Linked DNA regions of Sus scrofa. The protein of the gene in region 1 interacts with the protein of each later gene in a biochemical or structural test. Links are inferred from orthologs where the notes say so. Each region holds a gene or a part of one and is shown in the gene's direction. Other genes may lie near its edges.

Region 1 (4,267 bases):
TGAAGACTGTGAGGCTGGAGGTGTGAAAACAATGGAACAAGACAGAGTGAAGAGGGAGAAGAGACAGATTTGGGTGCTTTGCTGAGGGACAGAGGAAGAAGGAAGACTCCCAGGGGTCTTGGTTCCAAAGCTGCCAAGGGCTTAGGTAGGGAACATACACTATAACCTCTTTCCATGTGCAGGGCAAATAAATACTGCTCCTTTTTGCTAGCCATGAGGTGGCTTGTCAGGAGAGTCCTCTGGATCCCCGTCACTTTAATTCAATACATAGTCTCATCATTACTGTAGTCAGAGCAGAAATTTCCTCAGAAACTAAAGCCAACTGCTGAAGAGGATTCCTAGGACCTAAGGAAAGCCAGGTACATCACCTCCACCACCCCTCAGCACTTTCCTCACACTCAGGACCTCAGGAGCTACCTACTACACCCAGAGGAGAAAAATCTGACCTGCATCTAGTTTGGACTACAGGATCAGGGCAGGAAGGGAGAATTATGCTCACCTTTGCTTACTCGAGTGCTGGTTGAATTTTGTCCTTGGTAGGAGTGTCATCCATTTCCTCAGGCCCCATCCCTGTCCCTTCCTGGTCATTTGTATGTTTTTCTCATGACCTAAATCTGATCTAAAGAAATGGCAGTTTCCAAAGACCCAGCACAGGAGAATCTGATGGGAGGGACCAGCTGATATGACAGACCCTTCGTCACACAGAGGACCTCAGTCCCCACCCAAACCCAGTGAGGGAAGTGGTTCTCAAAGCCCCTCAGCCAGCTAACAGCTGCCAGAGACCAGTCTGCTGTCCCAAGGCCTAGTCTAGTGCTCTCTTCTTTATAGTCCAAAGGGCAAATCCAGTTCACAGGTATATTTCCTTTGACCTACATGGCATTTTTAGAATTTGAATGTTAGCAACATTAAAAAAAAAGGGGGGGGGAATTGCACCTAAATACCTGGATTTTTGACTTGTCTTGAAAAATTGGAAGACCTGGTGTTCTGGGCTCATTTGTATAACCTACTTGACCGCTGAGTGTCAGCTTGCTCCTAGTGGCACAAACAAGTGGCTTCTCTGAGCTGGAAGCTTCTAAGAAAAGCCCACCCCCAACCCCCCAAAGGTATTTGTGGGGTAAACCTGGTTTCACCATGTTCATATTTTTGATGCCAAATACTCTACTGGAGAGAGCTTTCGACTGGGAGTGAAGAGCCTGCCTTCCCAGCCCAGCCCAGCCCCCAATGAGCTAAGCCATTCTGAGCTAGTCAAAACTTGTCCCCTCTGGTCCTCAGCCGTCCTCATCTGTAAAATGGGCTGAGGGTCCTCTGTGTTGAGATCTCCACCCTGCGCAGCGTCTGCGCAGCCTCGTCAGCTCAGGCACCAACCGAGGACGCCGTTCGCGCTAGGGGGCACCAGAGCCGCCAAAGAGTCCGACCGGTGGGCGGGCCAGGGTCCCGGGGCGGGGCCTTGCGTCTGTTGGGCGGGGCGTCGGCGGGCGGGGCCCCGGTGCCAGGTGCGGTTTGGTCCTCCCCGGGCGCCGTAGGCGGCGCATCCCTCGCGCCCGGGGCTGAGATCCTCCCGCGCCTGAGGCAGCGGTGGCAGCTGAGCGGAGCTGCAGTGGCCCCAGCCTCCTCCCCATTTCCGCGCCTCCGGGACCATGGCGGCGCAGGCGGGTAAGGAAGGGCCAAGCAGTCCTGTCCCGGGCCCGGGGCGCCTGAGGGGAGCTGGCGGCCCCTCGGGGGTTTCGGGCTGAGTGGACCCGGGGCGGGGGTGGCCCCGGCTCCTTAAAGGAAGAATTTGGGAGTGGTGAGCACCGCGCTTCCCGAAGACTGGGAAGTTGTGGAGGGAGGGCGGGGCGGCTTGGGCGACTTCCCGTGAGTTGAGGTCCCTGGGAGGAAGGGATGCTGGCGGCATCTTTTTTTGTGGACTTGGCGACCGAAAGTCTTCAAAACTCTTTCTAAAGAAGCTGAAGGATCCGGATTCCCTAGAGGGTTTGGGGAGTGTGAGGAGCACGGGGTCCTCAAAGTTGGGAGCACTTCTGAGAGGATGGAGCGTATACCTCGGGTTCTGGATTTTCTGTGGAAAATTGAGGAGTTTGACTCCCGTCACGGGATCCGAGGCTTCTGGCGGGTGTCTCGGTGCCTGCGGCCCCCTGGGTCTTGGGTTCTCTGCGAGAAAAGGGCAGTGTGGGCTCCCTTGGGTTTTGGGACACGACCTGGGGGGAGAGAGAAAGTGGAGCATTATTCCTGGGGAAGGTAGGCTCCCCAGGGGCTCGGGCCCTCTTGGTCCCTCTGACACAGGAGAGGAATGTGGCCAAACACCTCCTGGAAAGAAGAGCTTATGAGGGTGAAGGGTAGCTTCAGTGTTAGGTTGGCTGTGCCTGCGGTCCCCTCCCAGTCACTCACACCACCCTGCAGCTTCCTGCCCTCCTGGCCTGTCTCCCTGCACCAGGGACTTTCTGTTTCCCAGCCACCTGTGTGGGTGGCCTAGCCTTTAGGTCGACCAGGGTCAGCGTCCAGAAGCTTTCTAGAGCTGGCAGGAGGGAATAGTGGAGGAGGGAGGCTGTCCTGGAAATCTGCCCCCGCTTCCTGGCTTTCAGCCTGTGGACAGTCACTTCCTCCATCCTGAATACAAGGACCAGGCCACCAGTGGGTCACTTCCTCACCATGGGAGTATGGGATTTTCTCCTCATTCTTGATAATAGGCTTCTGGAGAAGGAGGGCTAGGGGTAGGAATACTCCCTGTCCCTTCCTCTTTGTTTTTCTGTTTTTGTTTTTGTTTTTTAGCTTCCAGAGTTCTTTAGCTCAAGTGATCTCCATTGGTTTTTTCCTAACCTCTGTAGCATAGGTTTCCTGTTCTGAACCTTGAATCTCAGAAACTTGTGAAAGATCTTAGAGTGCAGTAGTGTTTATTAGTTTTTCTCTGAGTGATTCATAAAGCTGTCTAGAGGCATTACTGTTTGTAGATGCATTAGTCTGTACATTCTTTTTTTTTTTAGGGCCACACCTGAAGCATGTGGGAGTTCCCAGCCTAGGGGTTGAATTGGAGCCGCAGCTGCCAGCCTATGCCACAGCCATAGAATGCCAGATCCTTAACCCACTGAGTGGGACCAGGGATCAAACCCGCATCCTCCTGGATACTAGTCAGGTTTGTTACCACTGAGCCACAATGGGAACTCCAGCCTGTACATTCTTCTGTGAGAATATTTGTTGGATGCTTCTGTACCATGTACTTGGTCAAACACTGAGGAGTATGGTGATGAACAAAATCGATATAATCTTTGCCTTTGGGATGCTTACAGTCCTAGAGATGAACAGTAAATAATTGAGGTAACAATTGAGATAAATGCCATAGTAACTGAGATAAGCAATTGAAATAAATGCTGTACGATTGCACCAGAGGTAAGAGGATAGGGAATAATTGTGTTAAAAAAGCAAGTTTAGGAATTTTCTTATAGTGCAGCAGGTTAAGGATCCGGCATTGTCACTGCAGGACTTGGATCACTTGCCGAGGAACTTCCACATACTGCAGGTACGGCCAAAGAAAAAAAAATCAAGTTTATACTGACCCTTGAGGATAAGTAGAAGCTAGTCCAGCTAAGAAAAGACAAAGAACTTCCCAAGTAGAGAGAATAGCATAAAGAGACCCTGAGTAGGAAGGCATATGGTGCCTTTGAAGAGCTGAAAGGAAGCCAAGTATGGCTTTTTTATGGATGAGGAGACTAAGGTTCAGCAATTACTTGTTCAGGGTTCCATAGCCAAATAAATGGTGGTGGTCAGAGGTCATATTTTCCAGATTCACATTTGGTGCTTCATCTCTGTATCACAGACACCAGAATGAGGTTTCCCATGGAGTCAGAGAAGGAAGTGGGGCTTCAACTTTTACCTGCCCTATCTAAGCTGTGTTCCAAGACAACTCAGATTCCCTTGTAACTGGAGAATCAACAACAAAGAAATCAAATATTTACTGAGTACCTGTGATGTCTAAGGCATTGGGTTGTGCCAAGTATTACCTCTTAGAAATTTTAACAGATGCTAGAGCTGGGGGAGACTTGAGATAATATAACTCTCCTTATTTTATATGTAAAGAAACTGAGACCCAGGGGGAAAAATGGATTTGTTGTTGATTTTTTTTACTCAACTAGTGATAGATCAGGACTAACCTGATAAAGAAATTCTTTGTAGGCCTTCCCCTAGATAAGAAAATGCCTACTCATTCACAGCTAAGTAAACTTATGGTTGGAAGTGAGAACATGAGTGCCCAAAAGCCACAGGACTCATCTGTCTT
Region 2 (4,232 bases), on another chromosome or scaffold:
GGTCTAATCGGAGCTGTAGCTGCTGGCCCACACCAGAGCCACAGCAACAAGGGATCCGAGCCTCGTCTGTGACCTACACCACAGCTCACAGCAACGCCGGATCCTTAACCCACTGGGCAAGGTCAGGGAGGGAACCTACAACCTCATGGTTCCTAGTCGGATTCATTAACCACTGAGCCATAATGGGGACTCCCCATCTAGTTGTTTTTGATATGATTCTTGTGAGGACTTCCTATCTTGATTTATACAGTGGATTTTACATCTATTTCTTGTATCTAATGCAATGAAAAGAGAAGAGACATTTTTCAAATAATATAACTTTTCCTAAACCCTGACTCACTTCAGAAAGTTGGTGAACTGTTCAGACGCTGCACAGTGATTTTTACATACAAAGACAATTGGTTCATCTGCAGCATTTTCCAGTGTGGGATAAAACATTTACATTTTTTATTTCTGGCAATACTTCATTTGACCTATGAGCAAAACTAAAGATTGACTACATACGAATTACGGTAGATTTCCTGCTGAAAGCAGTGAGGAACATAACTTTATCAGCAGATTGGGGAACAGTCTCACTCTCTCAGTACAGTCAATGACGCAACTTATTTAAGAGGACATGCCCATTATTTTCACGTTCTACTTTAGTCTGGTAAAATCACAATTCCAAGTTTCACTGAATGTTTTGAAATTGAAACGTCAGGATTACGCATCAATAAGTGAACTACAATGGTGTAGGACAACTAGTAACATTAACTTAAAAATACGGATTTTTCCTACGAGATTATAATTATTATTTGGCTTGTTTTTTAAACTAAACTGAGTTTGATTTCTACTGACTAGATCTTCCGGAGTCAATATTTTAATGCTCCCCTGACACACACGCTCGGTTTAGGAGGGTTATGAACTGCATTGCTTCGTAATTTTCCCATGGAAGCACAGGCGAGTTAAACCATGTGGAGTTCACTCAGTACTACTGAAGACCTGAAACCGGTGGTGCCAAAATGCTGATGCCTGCCGGCGGAAAGGTATTTGCCCTTAAAACAAGAAACAAACGACAACAAAAACAAAAACCCACTTAGCTCCAAAATAACAATAACAAGCACCCTTTCTTTCTTGCCAGAATTCACCCGACGGTTGCAGCCCAAAGGAAGCGGAGCTGAGGCAGCGGCCAGGACGCGACTAGAGGCAGCAAGAGCTCCTCCCCAGCCCGGACTCTCACAGCCGCTTCCTAAGCGCTGCGTGGCTCCCTAGAGCCTGCCGGCGAGAGGGTTACGCTGCCTGCCGCACCCGGTCGGCTCCTCACGGCTGCCAGCCTACCCCGCCCGCCCGCGAAGCCCGGGGTGCGCCACGCCTTCCGTCCGGCCCCGCCCAACCCAGCCCCGCCCGGCCCTGCGGAGGCGCCGGAGTGCGCGCGCGCGCGCGCGCGCGAGGCAGGCCCGGTTCCCCTTCCGAACGTCCGCGCCCCGCATGCGCAGTCTACGCCGGCGGTCTCCGTTTGTTTGAACAGGAAGGCGGACATATTAGTCCCTCACGGCCCCCATCGCCCCACCCCCCAAAGCGTTCGCCGTCGCGACTCGCCCTTTCCCCAGCCGGGGCCGCAGCACCTCCCAGGAGCTCCCCCAGCAGCAGCCGCCGGGACCCGACTCTCATCTCCTTTACCGGCCGCTCTCCAGCCTGTCCTCTCCTAAGTCTCCATCGGGCACCGACCTCGCCCTGCCCCGCCGGACGCCACAGCAGCAGCCCCAGCAGCGCCAGGACAAAATGGGAGAGTGAGGCTATCCCTCGGGGACCAGCTCTTGGCCGGCGCGGGTCGGTGCGTCGGGCCGGGCCAAGTGGTGCCGGGGATGCAGGGCTAGACCGCCTCCAGCGCCTCAGAACGGAGCGGGCCCGGCCGGGGGCCCAGGCGGCGGCGGCGGCGGCAGCTGGCACGGCTCCGCACCCGCCCTTCGCTTTCGCCTTTCCTCCTCTCCCTCCCCTGCTGCCCGGAGGAGTCTCCACCCTGCTTCTCTTTCTCTACCCCCTCCTGCCCATCTCGGGACCGGGAACTCTCCATGGCCAAGGCGGCCGGGGCCCGCTAGGCTGAAGCATTTGCCTGGAGCGACAAGTCTGGTGGCGACGGCGCTGTCGGCTGTCGTGAGGGGCTGCCGGGTGGGATGCTACTTTGGGCATCCGAGCGGCTGTGGGTCGCCGTCGCCCCCGGCCCGGGGTCTGGAGAGCGGAGATCCCCTTAGTGAGGGGGAGGAGGGGGACCGCGCGCACCTGGTGACCCTGGAGTTCCGGCTCCTCCGCCCGGCGGCCGCGAACCCACCGCCGGAGGAAGTTGGCTGAAATTGCTTTCCGCTGCTTGTGCTGGTACGAGGGTATTGTCACAGTAGCAGCAACATGTCGACTGGGGACAGTTTTGAGACTCGGTTTGAAAAAATCGACAACTTGCTGCGGGATCCCAAATCGGAAGTGAATTCAGATTGTTTGCTGGTGAGTAGCCCAGTTCTCTTTTGCTTGTCTGAGGTTCTCTGTTTATTTCCTTCCTCTTGCTTTCAGTCTGGTTATCGGCAAAAGAAAAATTCAGGTGTGGAAAACACCAAAATCTGGTGGTGTTTGTGAAGAATATTGGAGTACCACTAAAATCTCGTGCTGTGGCCCTGTTTATCATTGTACTAACTACTCTCTCAACTTGTAGTTCTGACTCAGTTCATCATTACACAAAAGACACTTAATAAACTTGCAGGCATCATAGTTACCCCGTCCAGCTTATTACTATGTGTATAGTTTGTTGATTGGCGATTTTAGTAATATTAATCTTTCTGATCGGTTTGACAGTAAGATTGGAAAAGACTGTTTTCCATTTTCAGCGATTTACCTCCTTAAGGGTTTAATTTTTAGACTTGTGACAATATAGAATCTATATTGAGGAAGTGATTTTTGAGCCAAAGTGTCATAGGTGATTTGAGTCTGAGAGAACTTTTTTGCTGGACTACTAAGTGTAAAAATCCAAGATAACTGATGATAGGTCATCACATTAAAGTCTTTTACAATATTGTTGATTACAGAAGTCCTGCACAGATATTTTATCATAACTGCCCTTTTTTTGGTAGTGTTGTACCTGTTAACATTATGTCTTTTGAAACATTCTAAAGAAGTTTTTATGATATGAAAGGCCAAAACACGATTTTAAAAATTCTTCAGTGGTTTATAGCATGAACAATTAATTGTAGATAATTGGAATTCTTAAGTTTTGTCAATTTCCCCTAATAGTAATAGTTGGAAACCATCTGTAAGGAAGTTTTTCTTTTTATTTTACTGAACAACTAAAAGTTATATAATAGTTCTATTGGTCCATGCACAACCATATAATCTCTAAGGTTGCAAAGAGTATGTATATGAATAGTGATTTACAACCTTCTCAGGGATAGGTGTTAGATGTACACAATATTTGGGATTAGAATTAAGTGAACTAAATAATTCCACTCCAGAGAAATAATATTTTAAAATCTCATCTTGAATCAGGGAAATGATGTAGATCATTTAAAATTAACATACATTTCAGTTACTCCCAAATACCTGTGTATGTTTTCTAATGTGTATGGTTCTACATGAAAGTTTCTCCCCACAGCTTTTTAAATTACTCTGAGCATCCTTGACTGAAATAAACTGTGGGCTTTATGTTTGAAATGTCTCACCCACGTTGTGCATGCTCTTCATATTGAGAAACAAAAAGGAGGGTTAATGCTTAATACAATTGAGAACATTTTATCGAATGAGAGAAGTGGAAGAATTTAGGACATGTCTTTCTAAGAAGAATCTCTGTAACTCTTAAGATGTCTAATTCTTCATTTAATATTTGTCCAGTTTCCTTGTATCTGTGATTTTACATTGCTTTTTGATCTCCTTATTCCATTACAAGGAGGGTTTAGTAGATTTTTTTGTTGTTGTTTGGTGGGGTTTGTTTTTAGTTGTCTTCTAGCCTATTGCCATAGCTTCATTTGTTGGGAACGTCACAAGTTTATTGAAATGTGGAGGATACAAGGAAATATAAGTCATGGAGTCTTTCCTTAAAAGTACCAATCTGTTTAGAAAAACAAGTCCTAATCTTATACACATACACAAAAACAAAGCTAACACTTCACAGAGGAAATATGTGATAAATTTCAAATATTTGGTATAGGTAATATACATTCTTGTATATTGAAAGGAAGAACTCTCTGTGAGTTGAGAGCCAGAGTATGCTATAT

What was found. The genes of interacting proteins can lie anywhere in the genome.
Region 2: of the proteins of LIMK2 (region 1) and ROCK1, one has a biochemical effect on the other in vitro, tested with the Homo sapiens proteins (2 studies listed by BioGRID). The link is inferred for Sus scrofa from reciprocal best matches to the Homo sapiens genes LIMK2 and ROCK1.

Annotation. Positions count from the first base shown.
Region 1 is NC_010456.5:47,982,517-47,986,783, forward strand, and holds the start of LIMK2 (LIM domain kinase 2), read left to right. Parts: upstream 1-1,467; 5' UTR 1,468-1,637; coding exon 1,638-1,653; intron 1,654-4,267. UniProt on the Homo sapiens protein: Serine/threonine-protein kinase that plays an essential role in the regulation of actin filament dynamics. Acts downstream of several Rho family GTPase signal transduction pathways.
Region 2 is NC_010448.4:106,312,199-106,316,430, reverse strand, and holds the start of ROCK1 (rho-associated protein kinase 1), read left to right. Parts: upstream 1-1,432; 5' UTR 1,433-2,382; coding exon 2,383-2,475; intron 2,476-4,232. UniProt on the Homo sapiens protein: Protein kinase which is a key regulator of the actin cytoskeleton and cell polarity.